Neurospora crassa OR74A: one gene and its partner. The protein of the gene in region 2 interacts with the protein of the main gene of each other region in a pairwise test. Links are inferred from orthologs where the notes say so. Each region holds a gene or a part of one and is shown on either strand. Other genes may lie near its edges.

Evidence for each region.
Region 1: the proteins of NCU06859 (region 2) and NCU02605 interact in a two-hybrid assay, tested with the Saccharomyces cerevisiae proteins (2 studies listed by BioGRID). The link is inferred for Neurospora crassa OR74A from reciprocal best matches to the Saccharomyces cerevisiae genes RBA50 and RPB10.

The regions. Positions count from the first base shown.
Region 1 is NC_026501.1:2,875,472-2,879,807, reverse strand, and holds NCU02605 (DNA-directed RNA polymerase I/II/III subunit 10), read right to left. Parts: upstream 2,292-4,336; 5' UTR 2,195-2,291; coding exon 2,159-2,194; intron 2,088-2,158; coding exon 2,026-2,087; intron 1,963-2,025; coding exon 1,876-1,962; intron 1,823-1,875; coding exon 1,753-1,822; 3' UTR 944-1,752; downstream 1-943. Other genes in the region: NCU02604 (hypothetical protein), read left to right, coding at 2,569-2,930, 2,981-3,774, 3,829-4,336. UniProt on the Saccharomyces cerevisiae protein: DNA-dependent RNA polymerases catalyze the transcription of DNA into RNA using the four ribonucleoside triphosphates as substrates.
Region 2 is NC_026507.1:529,804-535,056, reverse strand, and holds NCU06859 (hypothetical protein), read right to left. Parts: upstream 3,384-5,253; 5' UTR 3,148-3,383; coding exon 1,678-3,147; 3' UTR 1,230-1,677; downstream 1-1,229. Other genes in the region: NCU06860 (MFS multidrug transporter), read left to right, coding at 1-255. UniProt on the Saccharomyces cerevisiae protein: Forms an interface between the RNA polymerase II enzyme and chaperone/scaffolding proteins, suggesting that it is required to connect RNA polymerase II to regulators of protein complex formation.

The DNA of each region.
Region 1 (4,336 bases), on a different chromosome or scaffold from region 2:
GGTCGGTGTGACCCAACCCAACCCTTTTTACCAGGGGAACCCATGGCTCATCGAAGCGCCAAGATCTCCACTATCAGAGAGGGTGTTCATCGATTCCTGGTAGACCTTGCGCGATCACCCCGGATTTCACAAGCAGACAACTCTCCACTTGCACTCCGGACTGCGTTTGTGAGACTTCAAAAAAAAAATGTCTTATGGTTCCGCGCGGAAAGCTCAACCCCCAGAAATCGTGATGAATTCGGAGAGACGCTTGAGAGATGGTGAGTGCAAGCATTAGATGTGCCGAAGTCTCCCATCTTGATCAGTGAAGGAATAATGCTTTGCTTTTCCAAAGGTAACTGGATCTTACCTGCACCTACATCAAGACGAGGAAGAAGCCACTACGCCAATTTAACTTGCCCAACGTTTGGGGGCGCCGGTTGATATTGAACACTTGCTGGGATGGATTCGAGACCCAACGACACTGATCCGGCGGTGATCAGCTAAAAGATATGGAAGACTGGATGGGGAGACGAACCAAAGGAGACTAGAGATATTGAAGCAAAGTGGCTACTACACAGATATGGTAAGATCACTTGAGTATGAACTTCATTCTTTCCTACACCGTCTTGGAAATGAGAACTTACGTGCCATCACTTGTACGGACATGAATGGTTGAGGGAACAGGTAAGTCGTAGACTGACCGGCGATGCAAGTCTACGGCTGGTGGGAGGGTAGGTCCATATCGGTAAAGACAACGTTCAAGTTTGTGACAATCCGAAAGCTCATTTTTCGGAAGTATATTTGCTACCGATGAGCAACGCAAAAGCATCTCTGACCGAGTGGCGTCCAAACCGGGCCTAGGAACAGGGCCAACGCTCACTTCGCTGCCACATACATACAGTTCGAGTCACTGGACACGGGCATGGGTGAACCAATTATCAGGAATTCGGATGTGGAAGCTACACAGATGAATAATTCTTCATAAAGAGAGAGTTGACCGGGCGCTGAATTTGAAATACTTTTGAAAGATATGACGTTCAGCATACTCATCTGAGCGAATAGCGTAGGCTACCCCAGTCTGTACCCATGTTATAAACTGAGACGTGTGATTTAGAAGGCCGTGCTACCTTTTGCGAATGTCTCTTGTTCACCAGCGCCATCATCCCTTGCACTGGCTTGATGCCCCCACAAATTGTAAGGACCATCCAATCCGAGCGTCGCTTCGTATTCGATCGGTCCAGCCCAGCCGAAGCGGTAGACTTTTCCACCATTCCCAAAAGACATCCGAACCCGAGGAGTTGGAAACCACGCAGGCGAGCATGACGGCTTGTAAGTCGCCAATGTAGATAACCAGATGTGGTTGGTTATGACACATCTAGCCACACGGAGCAAGTACCACGTTCCGGCTAAAGACAATGGCTCTCCGTGGTACCACAACCTCTCAACTGTAGTTGCAAACCGAAAAGGTAGCCTGTTGTGTCTGGCCATGTTGCTCCGGTAGACCTAACCGCCAACAGAACTTACACCAGAAACAGTTGTCCCAAATGCACCTTGACGCCACAGGTTCTAACCCAAAGAAAAGCACAACCAAATCAAGCTCTTGCTTTCGGCCTCCTGGATGCGAGACCAGGGCCGCTTCTATACCCTGCCCGGTACAGTTGTCTTAATACTCCCAAACGCCTAATGATCATGCAGTTTTCTCTTCCCGGACGATAGAGTGGTCGGCTTTCCCGAATAGTTGATGATGAATTCTTCGACCGCTCGGGCATATTACATCCCCTGTTCCTCATTGCGTGTCTGCATCTCGATCTTCTTGACGTTGCGACCATCGGGAGTATACCTAGAGCGTAGTCAGCCACCAAGGTCCAGCGCGGCGAGTCCACAAGAACGTACTTGAGAAGCTTCTCGATGAGGTCGACGTGGGTCATGACCATGCGACGGCAGCAGTAGCGCTTGAGGCCGAGCTGATCCAGAGCATCACTAATCATCGTCTGTCAGTTGTTGTTATTTGTAAATCGAAAGTCGTTTGTAGATGTCGCATACCCATCGGTGATCTCCTCGCCATCGATCAGCTGCAGGTATCTCTCCCAGAGATCACCCACCACCTATGTGCCAAAGTCAGTAACCTTGTTAACGGGTAAATGGCGGAGGAAGCGGGGCGCGTCGCGTCGCGTACCTTGCCGCACGAAAAGCATCGGATTGGAATGATCATTTTTGTTAGCGAGTCGAAAGCCTACAAAAAAGTGTTTGGCGGGATGGCGATGTTCGCGGCAGATGAGCGACCGGCTTCTGGCAAGATGGTGGTGCAAGATTGGTCGTAGTGACGGTGCAAGTTTCAGCATGAACTTTGAAGGGCGAGGCGGCAACTTTACCTGTGAGGTCGGAAGGCCCCAGCAAATTTGACTTTCTAGGGTCTGATTGGTCACTTCAGCCTTATCACCGATAAGAAAGCTGCCCCACATTAACTTTTCGAAGGGTACTCCGCCAAAATTTCTTCTGCTGGGAGGATGAGGCGGACATGAAGCTCGGTACGACAAATCGTGTGTTCCTTGCCAGACTTGCATCGTCATATACTCAAAGGACAAGATGGTGGAGCTACGCACTCCTCGCAAGACCTCGAAGGCGCCCAAGATGGATGCGAATGGTGAAACTGCCTCGCTCAAGAAGAGAAAGAGAGAGCCCAAGGAAGAGACGACCGCTTCGCAAAAAAGGCAACGATCGAAACCAAAGACCCAGCCTGCTGCCGCCAATGGCAATGTTGACGATACTACCGACTCCCAAGAAAGCACCCTTTTCGAGAACAAAGACTTGCAAACGACCAATGGCGATTTGGAACTTACGGATGCTTCGAATACCTTGACGACGCGCAACACATCGGCATGGAAGGTATCGAATCCTATGGGCGGCCGCATGCTCGACATCGATCCCATATTTTCCTTGGATGAACGGTTCGTTTGAGACCAGTCCCCCAGGCAGGGGCTCTACTAATGCGACTTAGATACCTCCTTATCACCTACAACACATCAATTCAAGTCTATTCCACCGAGGATTCCCTGCTCGTCAGGAGGATCTCCCTTCCCATCACCAAGCTCGACAGCGGCGCCGAACTTTCTTCTCCCCACATCGTTGCGTCTGCGCTATCCGCCAGCGCACCCGAATTCCTCTGGGTTGCATGCTCAGATGGCCGCATCTGGCACCTTAACTGGGCGACAGGTGAAGGCGCCGAAACACCCTTCACGATTGACGTCAAGAAAGTCCTCGACATGACCGTCGAATCGGTTGATATCCGCGACAAGCAAGAAGATGTCCTGTTTATTCTCCAGAAGTTGACCAAGTCCTCGGCGCAAATCGTGGCCTACGACCTCAAGGCCCTCCGTAAGAAGACCGGCAAGCTTATCCACACATACGACGAGAACCCGCAATTGCTTCGTTCCGCTGCTGGTGGCAGACTCATTGTTGCTGCCGCGAAGGAGACGCTACACATCGGCACTTTGAAGTCCAAGGGAAAGACCGTCAAGGCGGTTGATGACCTCGAATACGCGTTCCACTCTTTCGGCGTGCCGGATTTGGTTACTTGCCTCGACATTCGCCCGACTCTCCAAACAACTAAGAAGGGTGGCACAGAAATCCAGTTCGTTGATCTCGTCATCGGTTGCGCTCGCGGTGCCATCTACGTTTATGGTGACCTTCTCTCGAAACTACCCGGCAGCGCGACCAAGGGGGGTCCTATTCAGCCCCGCAAGCTACATTGGCACCGCAGGGCCGTCCACAGCGTCAAGTGGTCTGAAGATGGTAAGAACTGGTGAACTGTCTCTGGGAGACGACAAAGTGCTGACAATTTGACAGGTAACTATCTGATATCCGGCGGTGCCGAAACCGTACTCGTTTTGTGGCAGTTGGATACCGGCAAGAGGGAGTTCTTGCCTCACCTTTCAGCAACTATTGAAAACATCGTCGTTTCCCCCAAGGGATCATCCTACGCTCTCCACCTCGACGACAATTCTGCCATGGTGCTCTCGACCGCTGAGATGAAGCCCACGACCTACGTTTCCGGCATTCAGTCTTTGGTTCTCAGCGACAAGCCATCGAAGGAGTCTCTGGTGCGCCGTGTCTGGAGATCTGTCGACGAAATCTCAACACCCTTGATCACTACCAGTAACCCTACCAACCCTTCACAAATATTCCTCTGCGTCGGCAATGGGCAGCAGGCCAGCTCGACAGGAAATGCACCGTCCACACCACTTATCCAAGTTTTCGACGTCTCCTCGTTTCAGGGCGTTAGCAAGCATCCCATTGCGCGCACCAACCCTACCGATACCAACATGACAAGCCAGGGTGCGCCAATCATTGAGCC
Region 2 (5,253 bases):
GGGGATAAGGGGGAGAGGGAAAGGAGGGGTGGTGGAATTGTAGAAGAAGAAGAAGAAAATGAGAAGGATGAGGAGGAAAGAAGGGGAAGAGCGGAGAGGGAAGGGGGGATGGTGGAGACGACGATGACGATGACGGGTGAGGGACAGGGGCAGGGGGAAGTTAGTGGGGAGGAGGTGGTTGTGCCTTTTGCTTTGACAACATCGGGGGTGTTGGGAGAGAAGAAAGCGAAAAAGATGGGTGATGAGGTTGTTTGATGTTGGATATCTAGTTTCGATGTATGAGTGGAAGAAAGAATGGGCATGATTTGGGTAGAAAGTTAGAGGTAATAAGTGATGAGCGTGATAATGAAATGAAAAGTGATCAAACTTAAAACAGGTGTGGCTCGATGCTTATGTAACAGTGATATTGATATGTGATGTCAAATATCCCCGGAGGCCCGGCAATCCCATCTTCCGTTCCTCTATTTCGTCCAGTCTCAAGTACTAATCACTTATCCACCATCGGGGACCACCTCAACCCGGGCCGGGCCCGATGCAAGGACATCAACTGAGACAAAATGAGACGAAACGTTGCGGATATTAGAAGATTCCTCTACTTACAGTACGTAACTCACTATCTGTTCTTTCGCGCCTTCCAGTACATAGACCCTTTATGTCTTCTCTACCTATCTTCTCTCTAACCTAAGAAGTAACTAGCCTAACGTTCGTGAGAGTGCAAACGCCTCCCTTAGAAAGGAGATCACTTAGGCTACAGTACTCCCCAGGATTCAACAAAGATCAAACTTGCAACTCGGTGACTTCCAAGGTACCCAATCTAATCAGAGATACGAAACAGATATCTTTGTCATGATTAGACTCCCTCCTAGGCAAGGAGGCATATATAGTAATGTCAAGTACAACAAGTCTTGCTTGGCCTGGTCGTATAGTGGAAATATGATTGAAGTATGTGACATACGGAAGTAGGACACTGTAGGAAGAGGAATAAGTAGTCTAGAGTACTTGGAGTGAAAGTGAGAGTGAAGTAACGGAAGGAAGAAATTAAATATCATGAGTTGGTCGGATACATCAGATACCTCTGTCAGGTTGATCATAGCCCGTCTGAATTCTCAACAACTGAAGTATGGACTCCCTTTCTAGAGGGTTGGGGTTTCTAGGGAGTAGGTAGCCACTGAAGATATAAATAGGAAAGTGAACCTAAATCGTGATTCAGCATGTCTAGAATCTAAGGATCGATGTGATATAGACTAGTTATTCGGTGGAAAATTGTGTTGTAGGAATAATGTACAGTGAAAGAAATGAAGTTCTTCTGCATGGGATATACTAAGTGCGGGTATGCAGGAAGAGACCCCGAGCTTCATAGGCGAGGTAAGCTGCAACCGACCCGACCAAAGGAGACAATTTATTTTGTGTACAATGTTAGGCCACTTGATGAGTATGAAAAATTGCAATTTGACACCACCAGAGGGGTATGAAACCTGGAAAATAACACCAACCAAAAAAAATCAGTGATCCGCCCCCATCGATCCATTTCCATTTTACCCTATCCCTTACCGGCCAGCCGGTCAGTCGGTCGGTGTCCCATCCCATCCCATACCCATTTCCTACTATACTACAAGGCACAAGTTTTCCACGACTCTTATCCATATTCTCTTTTTTTTCGTTTTCATCCAACCCCGCTCACAAACCTCTCCACTTCTCCTTCCACCCACCCTTCTCAAACAACCACATGGCCTCAATAGCATACGCCCTCACACTCACACTGCCCACCCCCTCCTCCACATCCGCCGCCTCCCCGATACTCTCCAACACCCTTCCCTCCTGAAAACACCTCCACAGCGCAAACGCCAAATCATCCTCATCACCATCCCTACCGCCCGCACCCGTTCCCCACTCCCCCTTTCCCAGACGATACAGCATCCTCCCCAGCGTCCTAAACGCAATGCACCTCTGACTATTCACACTACTCCTCGCCAGCCTCGCCAGCTCGGGGATCGTGTACCCGGCTGCCTCGGGCGCCTCGCCGTGGTGATGCAGGCCCTTGGACACGGGAATCTGGCGCGACAGACGGGGCGGGATGAGTCGCCCCTTGAAGTCGAAGCGGAGCGCCGAGACGGGCAGCGAGGTCTGGCCCGGGTAGTAAGGGGATTCCTGGTCGGCGGGCGAGTCTTCGGTGGGGATGGGCGCCATCCAGGCGAGCTTGGAGGGGTCGGCGGGAAGCGAAGGGAAGAACTTTTGGTGCAGGGTGGCGAGGAAGTCGGGGTCTGAAGGGTCGAGGTCGGGAGGGGCGGGGGCGGCGGGGAAGTGTACGCCTTTGAGCTCTTCGTCGTCGCCGTGGTTGTGGGAGGGGTCGTTGCATTGGTGCGTTGTGGTGGGAGTTTGGGGTTCGGAGGAGGAGCCGCCGGCGGTGGGCATGGCAAGGTCTTCGGCGGAGAAGCTGGTCTTTTGGGGGTAGGGCGTGGGTGGCTGTTTGGATCGGATGGGGAAGCTGCCGGAGGGAGGCTGTTCGGGGGCGAGGTCTTCGTTGAAGGTGACGGTCTTTTTGGGTTTCTTGGGTTGGTCTTCGGTCATTTCCTCATCTTCGTCTTGTACGTATGCGTTTTTCGAGCTCGAGGTCTGGATGGAGGGTGGCTTCTTGTAGGAGATGGTGGGACCGCTGCCGACGTCGGCCCTCTTTTCCGTTGGCTCCTCGTCGGCCGGTTTCTCGGGAATGTCCCAGACTTTGGGGTCGTTGTTGTTGGAGCCGTCCTCGACGTTGGCTCGTCGGAGAAGCATCTGGATAAGCTTGGGGTCAAGGCCACTGAAGAGCTCTCGTTGGGCTTCGGCAATCTCTTCTGGCGACATGGAGCTCAGGAGCTTGTTGTTCTCCTCGTCAATCCTCTGCTTTTCGGATTTGATAGGGTCCGCGTCGATCTGGGGCCTCGCGCCGCTGGTGAACTGGATGGCTGGTGATGGTACTGGTGTGGTCGCTTGGGATGACGAGGACGATGGGTCTGCTTGTTGCTGTCGCTGCTTTTTGAAGGCAGACACTCGTTTCTTGGGAGCGGGAAAGCCTCCGGAGGAAGCAGGCGGCGGCGTTGGGAACGCGGGAGGCTTGACCTCGCCCACTTTGCGTTCCTTGACATCGAGGATTTCGAGAGTGCCGTCCATTGTGTTGAGGCCGTTATGATGTGTCGCGGTCGTTTTGTATCTTTGTTATCGGCGTTTGTCAATCAGAGTTGAACGAGTTGGACTGTTTGGTTGATGGTGATGATGATGGTGATGGCGAATAATGGGGGATAATGTATGCGGCGCTCAAAGAAAGCCGTGGATGGAGCCGTGGATTCTCTTTGATACAGATTCGGTCATCCGGCATAAAGTTCAAAGAAATGCAACGAGGGGCTTCCTTCCCTTCAAGTTGCCTGCCGAACGAAAAGAATTGTCAGCGGCGGATCCCGGCGGCTTTAACGACCTACTATGTAAGCCAGCACTGCATTAGCGGCGATCCAAGACACGGGGAGTACACAGTATTCATGCTAGTATTTACAGTGCATTACCGTACCGTGCGCGGCTTGGGGTTTCATTTGGCCCCGTTTTCGTCGTCTGTTTCGCGTTTCGTATTCCGGAATACCAACATGCACATGGATTGTGGCCGCTGGTCCGATGGTCTCCAAGGGAAGAGATCAGCATGAGATGAGCTTGTTTCCGACATTCTCGTCGACTATGCCAAGTGAGCTCATGTCGATTTCCTCTTTGTCAGTCAGTCACTTGATGGCATCTTGGCGGCCGTGTGCTTTGTGTTTGCCGGGTTGGTGGTTGCGTTACATACCTACCTATGTACTGAGCGTGAGTGGGTGTCTTGAGATCTTGTCATTCGACGTTACACCAAGATAATGCGGCCAGGGCCTATCAACACACCGGCTGCAGTACGCACGCAGAAAGAGCGTAATTCGGAATCGCAATCTGGTGCTGTAATTTCATACCTAGGTACGTATTACCACTGCAAGCAGAGTGTGCCTTTCCCCGGCCCCAGGCTACACTATGAATTCAAGTTCTTCCAACAATGGAAATCGTAGCCGCGACGACATCATTTTCACTCCAAAGGTACGTTCGTGTGGCTGACCAGCCGAAACCAGCCGCATTGACGAGTGTGACGTACCGGCAACTGAAATTTGGAATGGCCACTGCACTGCAGAGTTCAGTTCAGTTTCGTCGCGGTTATTGTGTCGCTAGCCAAGTGGGTCGCACAAGCGCGGCTCCAAATGTCGCGCAGCATCCATCCAGAGAATCTGGAATCACGGTACGTACCGGTACGAGCGCTCGTACCTGACAAGGGGTCTGAGATCTTGGAGGTGGCCCGTGTGTCTTCCGCTTCTTATCGCATCTTGTTCATTGCGCTAGCACGGCGAGCACGGGGGACCCTCGTCTGGTTCGTACTGTGTTGTCCTCTTTTTGAGTCTCGGCTTCAGTTTCCTCGCTCAACGGGTGAATTCCCAAAAGTCAACCTGACATCAAACCGGCAGTTTACAATTCAAAACACTTTAGCTCTGCGGGCAACTTATCTATGAGGCAAGGTTCACTTTCATTACCTCGCTAGTTTTAAAGTTGAATCGACATCTCCTATTCTTCCCATGGTCGCCCGGTTAGTCAGCCGTGCAGCGGTGCGCGCCGTGTGGAGTCATGCATCACCTCCAACCCGACTTGAACCCCAAACGGATCGGGTCCAGTCACTCACAGCGGAGGTCACTTTTTCCCAAGAACCCCAAAAAGAAGCCCTGTGGCCCCTGCGAGGTGTTGCAGTCCAGTCGGCCGTCCATTGATGGGCCGTGGGAGTGTAACCTTGTTTCTCCATCTGCCCTTTCTGCCATTCCCATTGGTCCAAAATGCTAGCATCTCTTGGCATTTTCCTTTTATTCCTGTCTATCGCTCGCACTCGCTTCTTGTATTTTCCCGTTTCCCTCTCTCACAAGCCACCACCCGCACATGGATCGATGTCTGCTGCTACTAACTGCTTGGCATAAGTGATAAGTAGCAGCACTTGGAGTCTGTGCCTCCATTTTGCCTTTTCCTCCAAACCCCCCCACCCAAATGTCGTTGTTTCTGCAGTGCTTCTTTGGGTTCTTCCGGCCTGCCTAGGTACTGCCGTCATGAGGTCTGACATAGAGAGAGAGAGAGAGAGAGGCATGGATGGCCACCTCACACACCTCACCCAAAGCAATGTTTCTGATTCGCCTTGGCTTGCCTTGCCCTGATGGCCCAAAAAGCGAGTCTATCCAG